2 linked regions of the Nothobranchius furzeri genome follow. The protein of the gene in region 1 purifies or fractionates together with the protein of each later gene. This does not show direct contact. Links are inferred from orthologs where the notes say so. Each region holds a gene or a part of one and is shown on either strand. Other genes may lie near its edges.

What was found. The genes of interacting proteins can lie anywhere in the genome.
Region 2: the proteins of ebna1bp2 (region 1) and bxdc2 purify together in Homo sapiens (affinity purification with mass spectrometry; 4 studies listed by BioGRID and IntAct, counting the BioPlex papers as one, with this or other methods). This does not show direct contact. The link is inferred for Nothobranchius furzeri from reciprocal best matches to the Homo sapiens genes EBNA1BP2 and BRIX1.

Annotation. Positions count from the first base shown.
Region 1 is NC_091748.1:70,081,358-70,085,396, reverse strand, and holds the start of ebna1bp2 (probable rRNA-processing protein EBP2), read left to right. Parts: upstream 1-1,162; 5' UTR 1,163-1,363; coding exon 1,364-1,459; intron 1,460-1,653; coding exon 1,654-1,737; intron 1,738-2,080; coding exon 2,081-2,253; intron 2,254-4,039. UniProt on the Homo sapiens protein: Required for the processing of the 27S pre-rRNA.
Region 2 is NC_091746.1:58,361,511-58,365,733, reverse strand, and holds the start of bxdc2 (ribosome biogenesis protein BRX1 homolog), read left to right. Parts: upstream 1-1,377; 5' UTR 1,378-1,417; coding exon 1,418-1,567; intron 1,568-2,306; coding exon 2,307-2,418; intron 2,419-2,524; coding exon 2,525-2,568; intron 2,569-2,648; coding exon 2,649-2,719; intron 2,720-2,793; coding exon 2,794-2,843; intron 2,844-2,925; coding exon 2,926-2,999; intron 3,000-3,099; coding exon 3,100-3,150; intron 3,151-4,080; coding exon 4,081-4,182; intron 4,183-4,223. UniProt on the Homo sapiens protein: Required for biogenesis of the 60S ribosomal subunit.

The sequences.
Region 1 (4,039 bases):
TTAATAATAGAAGAAGCTGTGATGTATCTTTAATGATAGATGGAATGGAAATTCAAAGAGTAAAAGAAACCAAATTTCTTGGAGTCATGTTTGATGAGAGTCTCACGTGGAAATCACATGTAGGTTATATAAAGGGGAAAATCGCCAAAGCCATGGGTGTATTACATAGAGTCAAGTTTCTACTAAATTGGTCAGGGTTATTAACATTGTATCACTCACTGATTGAACCATATTTATTTTATTGTTTAGAAATTTGGGGAGTCACTTGCAAAACTTTTACACAACCGTTGTTCATTTTGCAAAAAAGAGCATTGAGAATCATTAATAACTAACTATAGAGATCACACTAATCAATTATTCATTAGATACAAAATACTGAAATTTCCTGACTTGGTAGAGTGGAAAATATTGCAAATAATGTACAGAGCGAATATGAGTAATCTACCAACTAATGCCACATTTCAGAAAATGTTTCATGAGAGAGTAAGTGGGTACATGTTAAAAGGAACTGATGTCTTTAAGAAACCTAGATTCAGAACCAAAGCGAAGGAATGTAACATTTCTGTAAATGGTGTAAGATTGTGGAATGCCATTAACAGGGAATTTAAAGAATCAACTTCACTTGCTATATTTAAAGATGTATAAAATCTAATGTATTTAGCAATTATGAAAAGTTGAACTGTAATGTCAAAGATTAGACATGAAAATATTAGAAAGTGACTGATGTTATATTGTGTTTGTTTGACGGATAATTTTATTTTGTAAAAAGGGGCAGAAATTATAAGACTCTCTTCTATCTGCTCCTTTTTGTTCAAATTTTTTTTCAATATGTTAATGTATGTTGCATTTGTTTGTGTTTATTGTATACATTTTGAATGAAATAAAAGATTAAAAAATAAATAAATACCAGGCACACCAGTGAGAGCAACGAGATCCAATCTCCAGCCAGAAAAGTTTGTTCTAGTTTATCAAAATTAACAAATATAGAATTCTAACGTCAGTTGGAGTTTACTACTGGTAAAAAAATAATAATAAATAACTAAGAAATTATTACATGATATTTATCATCATTAAAATAATGTGTATTATTAGTTGCCGTTATAAAATGTTAGTATTAAAATATTAGTAAAGTAACAATAACAGTTGATGTGTCTCGCCTGCTTTTAAAATTATTTTCAATTAATTTTGTCATGTCGGAACTTCATTTATCTTCATTCTTTGTCTTCTGTCGGACAATTTTCGCGAAAGAGCAAACCCATACGTCACTTCCTCCTCCTGTGAATCGCTCCACACGTGAGCGACTGTTTGTTAACTCGTGTCGTTGTTGCTGTTTTGTGCAGCTTATAAGACAAATTCGGATTTTATGATCATCCCTGGCAGGAGTATGGATTCGGCAGAGGAGGACCCGCAGCTGGGTGAGGAGTCAGAGGAGGAACACATCGAATTATCGGATGGAGAAGTAAGTTTTATGCTAACTTTGACTTAAGCCAGCTGCACTAAAGCACCTGTTTTGAGTTTAGCTAACTGGTCAGGCTCTGTGTTGAAACCATCGACACATATACGGTTGAAACGGGAACAAGAAACAACGATGATGGGAATGACATAATTAAGTCAAGAGTTATTTAAAAATATTTCTGTGGTCTTTGTGTTTAGCTTCAAGAAGCCCTCTCTAAAGGGTTGCTCAAACCTGGGATGAACGTCCTGGTGGATAAAAGCAAGACGTTCGTCAATAATGTGGTGAGTAATTAAGGTCAGAGTAGTCATTATGCTGTTTTTATTATGAAAAAAAAACATACTTGTACTTTTTACTTTGTATATAATAGATAAATCCTGCATTTTGACAAAGAACAGAATAGAAACTCGCTCCCTTTATTGTCTGGGTGGGAAAATGTCACAACTGGAGCAGACAGGATTGTAAAACAGTAAGATTAAAGAGTAAACAATAAGAAAACATACAACGGTATTGCTTAAAATATTAAAAATACGTAGGAATCCAAAGATGTGTTGTAAACAATCTAAATATTTATTTGTTTTCTTTTCTCTCCGTGGCAGTTTGCCTAACACATTTGTTTTCCTTCAGGAGGGATTGAAACTCTGTCTTGCGGAGCTGCATAAAGATCTAGCCTGGGTGGAAAGGTTAGACATGACCAACCCACCTGCTGATGAAGTTCTCACCAACGCTGAAGGGAACGTTTCTGCTGTGTCCAACGGAGAACTCAACGCTGATGATGATTTCCAAAGAGAAATGTTCTTGTAAGTTACAGCTGAGGTGCAGTGAACGTCAGCTGGTGGTCTACAGGCCAGGCCACATCCAGCCCACCAGACTTTTCCACTTGCCCCCCAACTCTTTGGCCCCTAACTTCCTACAATTGGGAGACTTTAAAGTTTAGCAGCAAGTTTTATTTCCCAAATATCAGTAATTGTTTACGTTATTCAAACACGACTGAAACCACAGTAAAACAGTGTTGATGGAAAACAAAACCATTTCAAATATTAATAATTTAAGACACAATAATACTTGAACTTTATTTTAGAAGAGCTTCTGGCCCTCAAGGTGTCTGCTGACCTTGTCCATACGTAGCCATTAAAGACGAATATCTGCCCTCTGAAAAAATAACGTCCACACCGCCTCGTTTGTAGAATTAGTCATGTGTCTACTTCCTAAATGATGAGCGCACCAACGCGGGGTCTTGTTCTATGAGCTAGGTAGTGTTGCTGGACCCACCACTACACGTGACCGCATAAGTGCATTGTTAGGCACATTGATAGGCGTGCCAGACTTGTAGGCGGCAGTCTTCCTGCTCAACTTCAACATAACATGAAACATGGCGCCTATCTCGTTTGTGCAGACCGATAAGGAGGTAGAATGGCTCTTAAATGTAGTTTTATAACTAGTTCAACTACTAGTTAAATGTAGTTTGATAATGCGAGCTCGGCTCTGAGGGCATCCATGTTGTAATGTAAACACAGGTCGCACATGGGCAGTCAGCATTTTTGTCACAGTGATGTGAAACCTAAAACTCCGGTTATTTCTGTCCACACAGAAACCGAGAAAATGCAAATCTTCATTTCAGCTGGAGCTTTTAAAAAGTTTAGTTTTTGATGCATAAATTGGTTTTTCTTGTGGATGACAGGCCAAATTGTAGAAAAATATCTTCGCTTTGGGAGGTGTCCGATAGCGATGGGTACCGAATTCGGTACTTTTTAAGGTACCGACCGAATTCCACAGTACCACCTGAGCACCGATTCACGTCATTTCAAACTGTGCCTCGTTTCGGTACCCGTCCTTCATAACGAGAACTTGCCTAGACAGCTGCGCATGCGCAAGAGTGTTATGTCGTCGGTTGCTGCGAGCCAGTTGTAAACAGAGCAGCATGGTAGAAAGAGCGCACGCTAAAGCTTGGGTCCACTTCACTAAATGTGATGGGTAACAGGGTGATGATGAAACCAGCGACAACGATCTGAGTGAGACATCCTCATCTTAATCTGCTCCAGTAGTTAAATAAAATGTTTAAGATAACGTTAGCTTGATATGTTAGCTTCCGTTTCGCTAATGGTGTGTTCGCTTTCTCCTCGGAACTCCGAATTTCCGACTAGAAGAACATGAACGCGCTCTAAAGTTTGGCTTCACTTTACTAAATGCGACGGGTGAAGATGAAACCAGCGACAACGATCTAAGTGTGAGGCATCATCGTTTTAATCTGCTCCAGCAGCTAAATAAACTGTTTAAGATAACGTTAGCTTGATATGTTAGCTTCCATTGTCACCATTGTTATCAGCTAATGGTGCGTTCGCTTTCTCCTCGTAAATTCTAACTTCCCGGTAGGAAAAATCAAATGAAAAAGGACGGCAAAAGGAATGAAGATGCACAGTAAATTTAGTTCACAGTAAAGATGTTTGCTTCAGTTTAATTATCAGCTTATAAAACTACAAGGACGATGTTAAAATACAAACAGTTGTATGTTATTTATTGTGATATATATCAAATATTGTTATATATTGAGAAAAATATATATTTAATTATAAAAGAGAATTAAAA
Region 2 (4,223 bases), on another chromosome or scaffold:
ACTGGAGCAGGTCACAGCTGAGTGAAGCAGCTGGGATGAGAGTTGGCTCATCTGATCCAAGAACATGGTCTTGAGTCGGAAAAGGGTGGAATGCCTTCTTCGGGTCAGGGATGAGGCCTGCCCCAAGTGGAGAAGTTTAAGTATCTCGGGATCTTGTTCACTAGTGAAGGAAGAATGGAGCACGAGATCAACCTACACCTTTTGGAAAAGTCCAATAAATCAAATCATGCAGCTAGATCAGGATTAGTGTGGCAGCTGTATTTTGTATGGTATGGAGGAAATATACAAAAAATAAACAATCTGCATTTATTTCCACATAGATGATAATGACAGAATGAGAAAGCGGAGGAGTTTAATTATCTTGGGGTCTTGTTCATGAGTGAGGGAAAAATTGAGCGTGAGATCAACTGGCGGATTGCTGTTGCGTCTGCAGTATTGCGGGCATTGTACCAATCTGCTGTGGTGAAGAGAGAGCTGGGCCGGAAGGCAAAGCTCTCGATTTACCGGTCGATCTACTTTCCAACCCTCACCTATGGTAGTGACTGAAAGAATGAGATCGCGGACACAAGCGGCTGAAAGGAGTTTTCTCCGCAGGGTGTCTGGGCTCTCTTTGAGACAGGATGAGAAGCGCAGTCATCCGGGAGGGGCTCAGAGTAGACCTGCTGCTCCTCCACATTGAGAGGAGCCAGTTGAGGTGGCTCGGGCATCTAGTTAGGATGTCTAATGGATGCTGGTGAGGTTTTCTGGGCACGTTCAACCGGGAGAAGACCTAAAGAAAGACCCAGGACACGCTGGAGGGACCATGTCTCATGGCTGGCCAGGGAACGCCTTAGGATTCCCCCAGAGGAGCTGGCCCAAGTGACTGGGAAGAGGGAAGTCTTGGCCTCCATGCTTAGGCTGCTGTCCCTGTGACCCGACCCTGGATAAGCTGGTGAAAATGGATGGATTGTCTCCTGAATCAATTTACAAACATTTATCAGTTCATGAAAAGCAATAAAATAAAATAAGCACTGCCATATTGTGCTGCAGATTGTGGAGTTAACTTTGCACCAGTTGTTTTTGACTGATATTTAATAAAATGAATGCTATTTTTAAAAGAAACGGCATGACATTTCACAAAGAAGAAATGGGATAGCTGAAAAGTAAAAAAAAAAAATACAACAAAAACCATGAAAAATGCATGTACAGCTGCAGGAGTAAATTTTTATGTTTGGGTGTGAGCAAATGATTTCATTAAATCAATACGGTTGGCATTTTTCTATATAACTTCTAATATTTTTCTGACTAATTTACATTTATGCCGTTCACTCTGCTCTGAACGCAATTTCTGTTGCAGTACCGCCTCGGGCCACTGGGAGTTCATCTCTGGGTGAACTTGCTGGACATTGTGTGGTTCTCGCGAGATTTGCATGGAAACATGGCAGCATCCAAAAGAAAACGTGGAGGACAGGGTCCCGTCAACAAGAAGGCTAAAAAGGGTAAATTTGTTGTAGACCAAAGAGAAAGTCAAGCTGAAGCTGAACCAGAGACGAAAAATGAAGTCACAGTCCCAGCACCGGTCTCAATGGTAAGTGTTGGGGTATGTTAGCTTGTTAGCCTGCAGTCTGCTAGTGAACACACGGACCTAAAGGTTCGTTTTTACTCGTTCTAAATTGTTTAACTACATAATTATTTTATACAAAAGTGAGTAAAGGTCAGTAAGGTCTACTAATGCTTCGCTAGCAGTCACATATTTGTGTTTAAAGGTGTTGAGTGTTAATTTAGAATGGACTGTTGATCCCACAATGGGGAAATTCACTTGCTACAGCTGCACAAACTCTTAATAACTCGAAGAAAAATAACAAAGGTGTATGTCTTTACGCATAGGCAGTAAGCTGTTATTGTAACCTTCGACCACTAAAAACTACAATTAAAAATGAAACTTGGGTTCCAGAACTATGCAGCATACTGTAAGGGACACAGTCATGCTATGTAAATCCACACACTGAATATTTTATGTGGAGCTAGGCTTTTCTTAAGTTACCAGTTGTATTAATCTGACATGTCATATTTTGTTTTCCTTTTGTTTTTGATTTCTTTAATTTCCACTCATTTGCTCCAGCCCATGAACACAATAGACAGTCAGACAAATAAGTTATTCAAGTGATTTTCTAATCTTTACCCTTTTGACAAAAGATGAAAAACCCATGAATTCTTCAGTTACTTTTATTGGTATTCAGATATTTAAAAAGCCTCAAGGGTGCCTAACAAGGTGTTTCACTTGGGTATTTATCCAATGCTATGATGTCATCATTACTTGTGAACAGGGCAAATGGACCAACAAGGAAAGAGTTCTAATCTTCTCCTCTAGAGGAATCAACTTCAGAACAAGACACTTGATGCAGGACCTGAGGACCATGATGCCTCATGCGAAAGCAGGTTGGTATGCAAATACGACCTTCTCAGCTCGATCTGCACTGACGACCAGAGTTAACCCTCTCCATGTTGAGCTGAACCCAAGTGACCAGACTATTTTTCTATCTAGATACAAAAATGGACCGGAAGGACAAGTTGTTTGTCATCAATGAGGTGAGTTTGCTTTAGAGTTTAGGACGTTTTGCACCATCGTATATTTTAAAGCAGTGTTTGAGATCAGTGTTGTTTTGCAGGTGTGTGAGATGAAAAACTGCAACAAGTGCCTGTTTTTTGAGGCTAAGAAAAAGCAGGACCTCTACATGTGGTGAGAGTTTGATCCACGCAGATTGTTAGCCTAGAATGCTGTCAGGTAAATGTAATGATGTTCTTTCTCTAAAGGATCTCGAACTGCCCGCACGGACCTTCAGCAAAGTTTTTGGTTCAGAACAGTAAGTTGCTTCTGTCTTATAAGTCTTGGGCACAGGTACCTGCTTTGCAAAGCATCAATAATTTATTCCATCGTCTTTACAGTTCATACACTGGCTGAACTCAAAATGACAGGAAACTGCCTGAAAGGATCCAGACCACTGCTATCGTTTGATCCTGTGAGTATCGAGCATCCTTAAGTGTTAAATGAATTTGCTCGTTTGCTGGATAAATGTTTTAGTCGACGCTCCAGAAGTATGAGTTTTATTTCTCGTGCAGAAATTTGACACGGAGCCCCACTACGCTGTACTTAAAGAGCTCTTCATTCAGGTATGTATTCATAGTGAAAATGGGGGGCTGCACATCATGCAAAATTCATAGCATTTTAAAATATACAAATCAAATCAAACTTTATTTATATAGCACTTTTCATGCATAGGATGCAACACAAAGTGCTTAACAGCTTAAAATGACCCATATAACCCACATTCCCTCCCTTTCCCACACTTAAAACAATTTTCACCCCAAATCCGCAAACCATTCCCAGGCGCGCACACACACATTAAGACACACACGCACACTCTCGTACACATAACACATTAAAAGACCACAGTAAACACTAGGCTGAGCTCAGATTGGACAGGTAATGAAAGACACGCCATCAAGGGAGCCATCTGCCTCGACAGCAGCAGATCGACGGCAGCAGCCAAGACACCAATCCAGGGCGCCCTGGGAGGGAGGGTGGCAACCCCCCACATTTACCTGGGCACTACCCAAGGAGCACCCCCAGCCACTGCCACCGGTCCCAAGGCAGAGGGCTCCACAGAGGAATCACTGGAAGGATTAAAATATGTGACGTAAAATAACAAGAATACAAGCGCAACAACAAGCTAATATGGAAAATATGTAAAATGTATGATGTAAAATATCCAATAAAATGTGATTATACAAATAAAACATAAATGTGTAACACAACAGTAATTAAAATAGGTAAAACAAGCAATGCAATAAATAGTAATCAGTTAAAAGCTAAACTAAAAAGGTGGGTCTTGAGCCTGTTCTTAACAACATGAATGTTCTCTGCAGCCCTGAGATCCTCCGGCAGCCCGTTCCAGAGGCGAGGGCTGTAAAAACTAAAACTAAACCTACCATTTAATGTAAAATTTAGCTAAATTTTGACGTTGCATTATCTGCAGCTTAAGCAAAAAATTAAGGCTGTAAAACATTGACTCGTGCATTCATTAAACTTCCTCCTTCTAGACGTTTTCTACTCCACGTTACCACCCTAGGAGTCAGCCATTTGTGGACCACGTCTTCACCTTCACCATTGTAGACAACAGGATTTGGTTTAGAAACTACCAGGTAACGTTTTACTGGGTCAAGGCTGCAGATTTAAGTTTCAG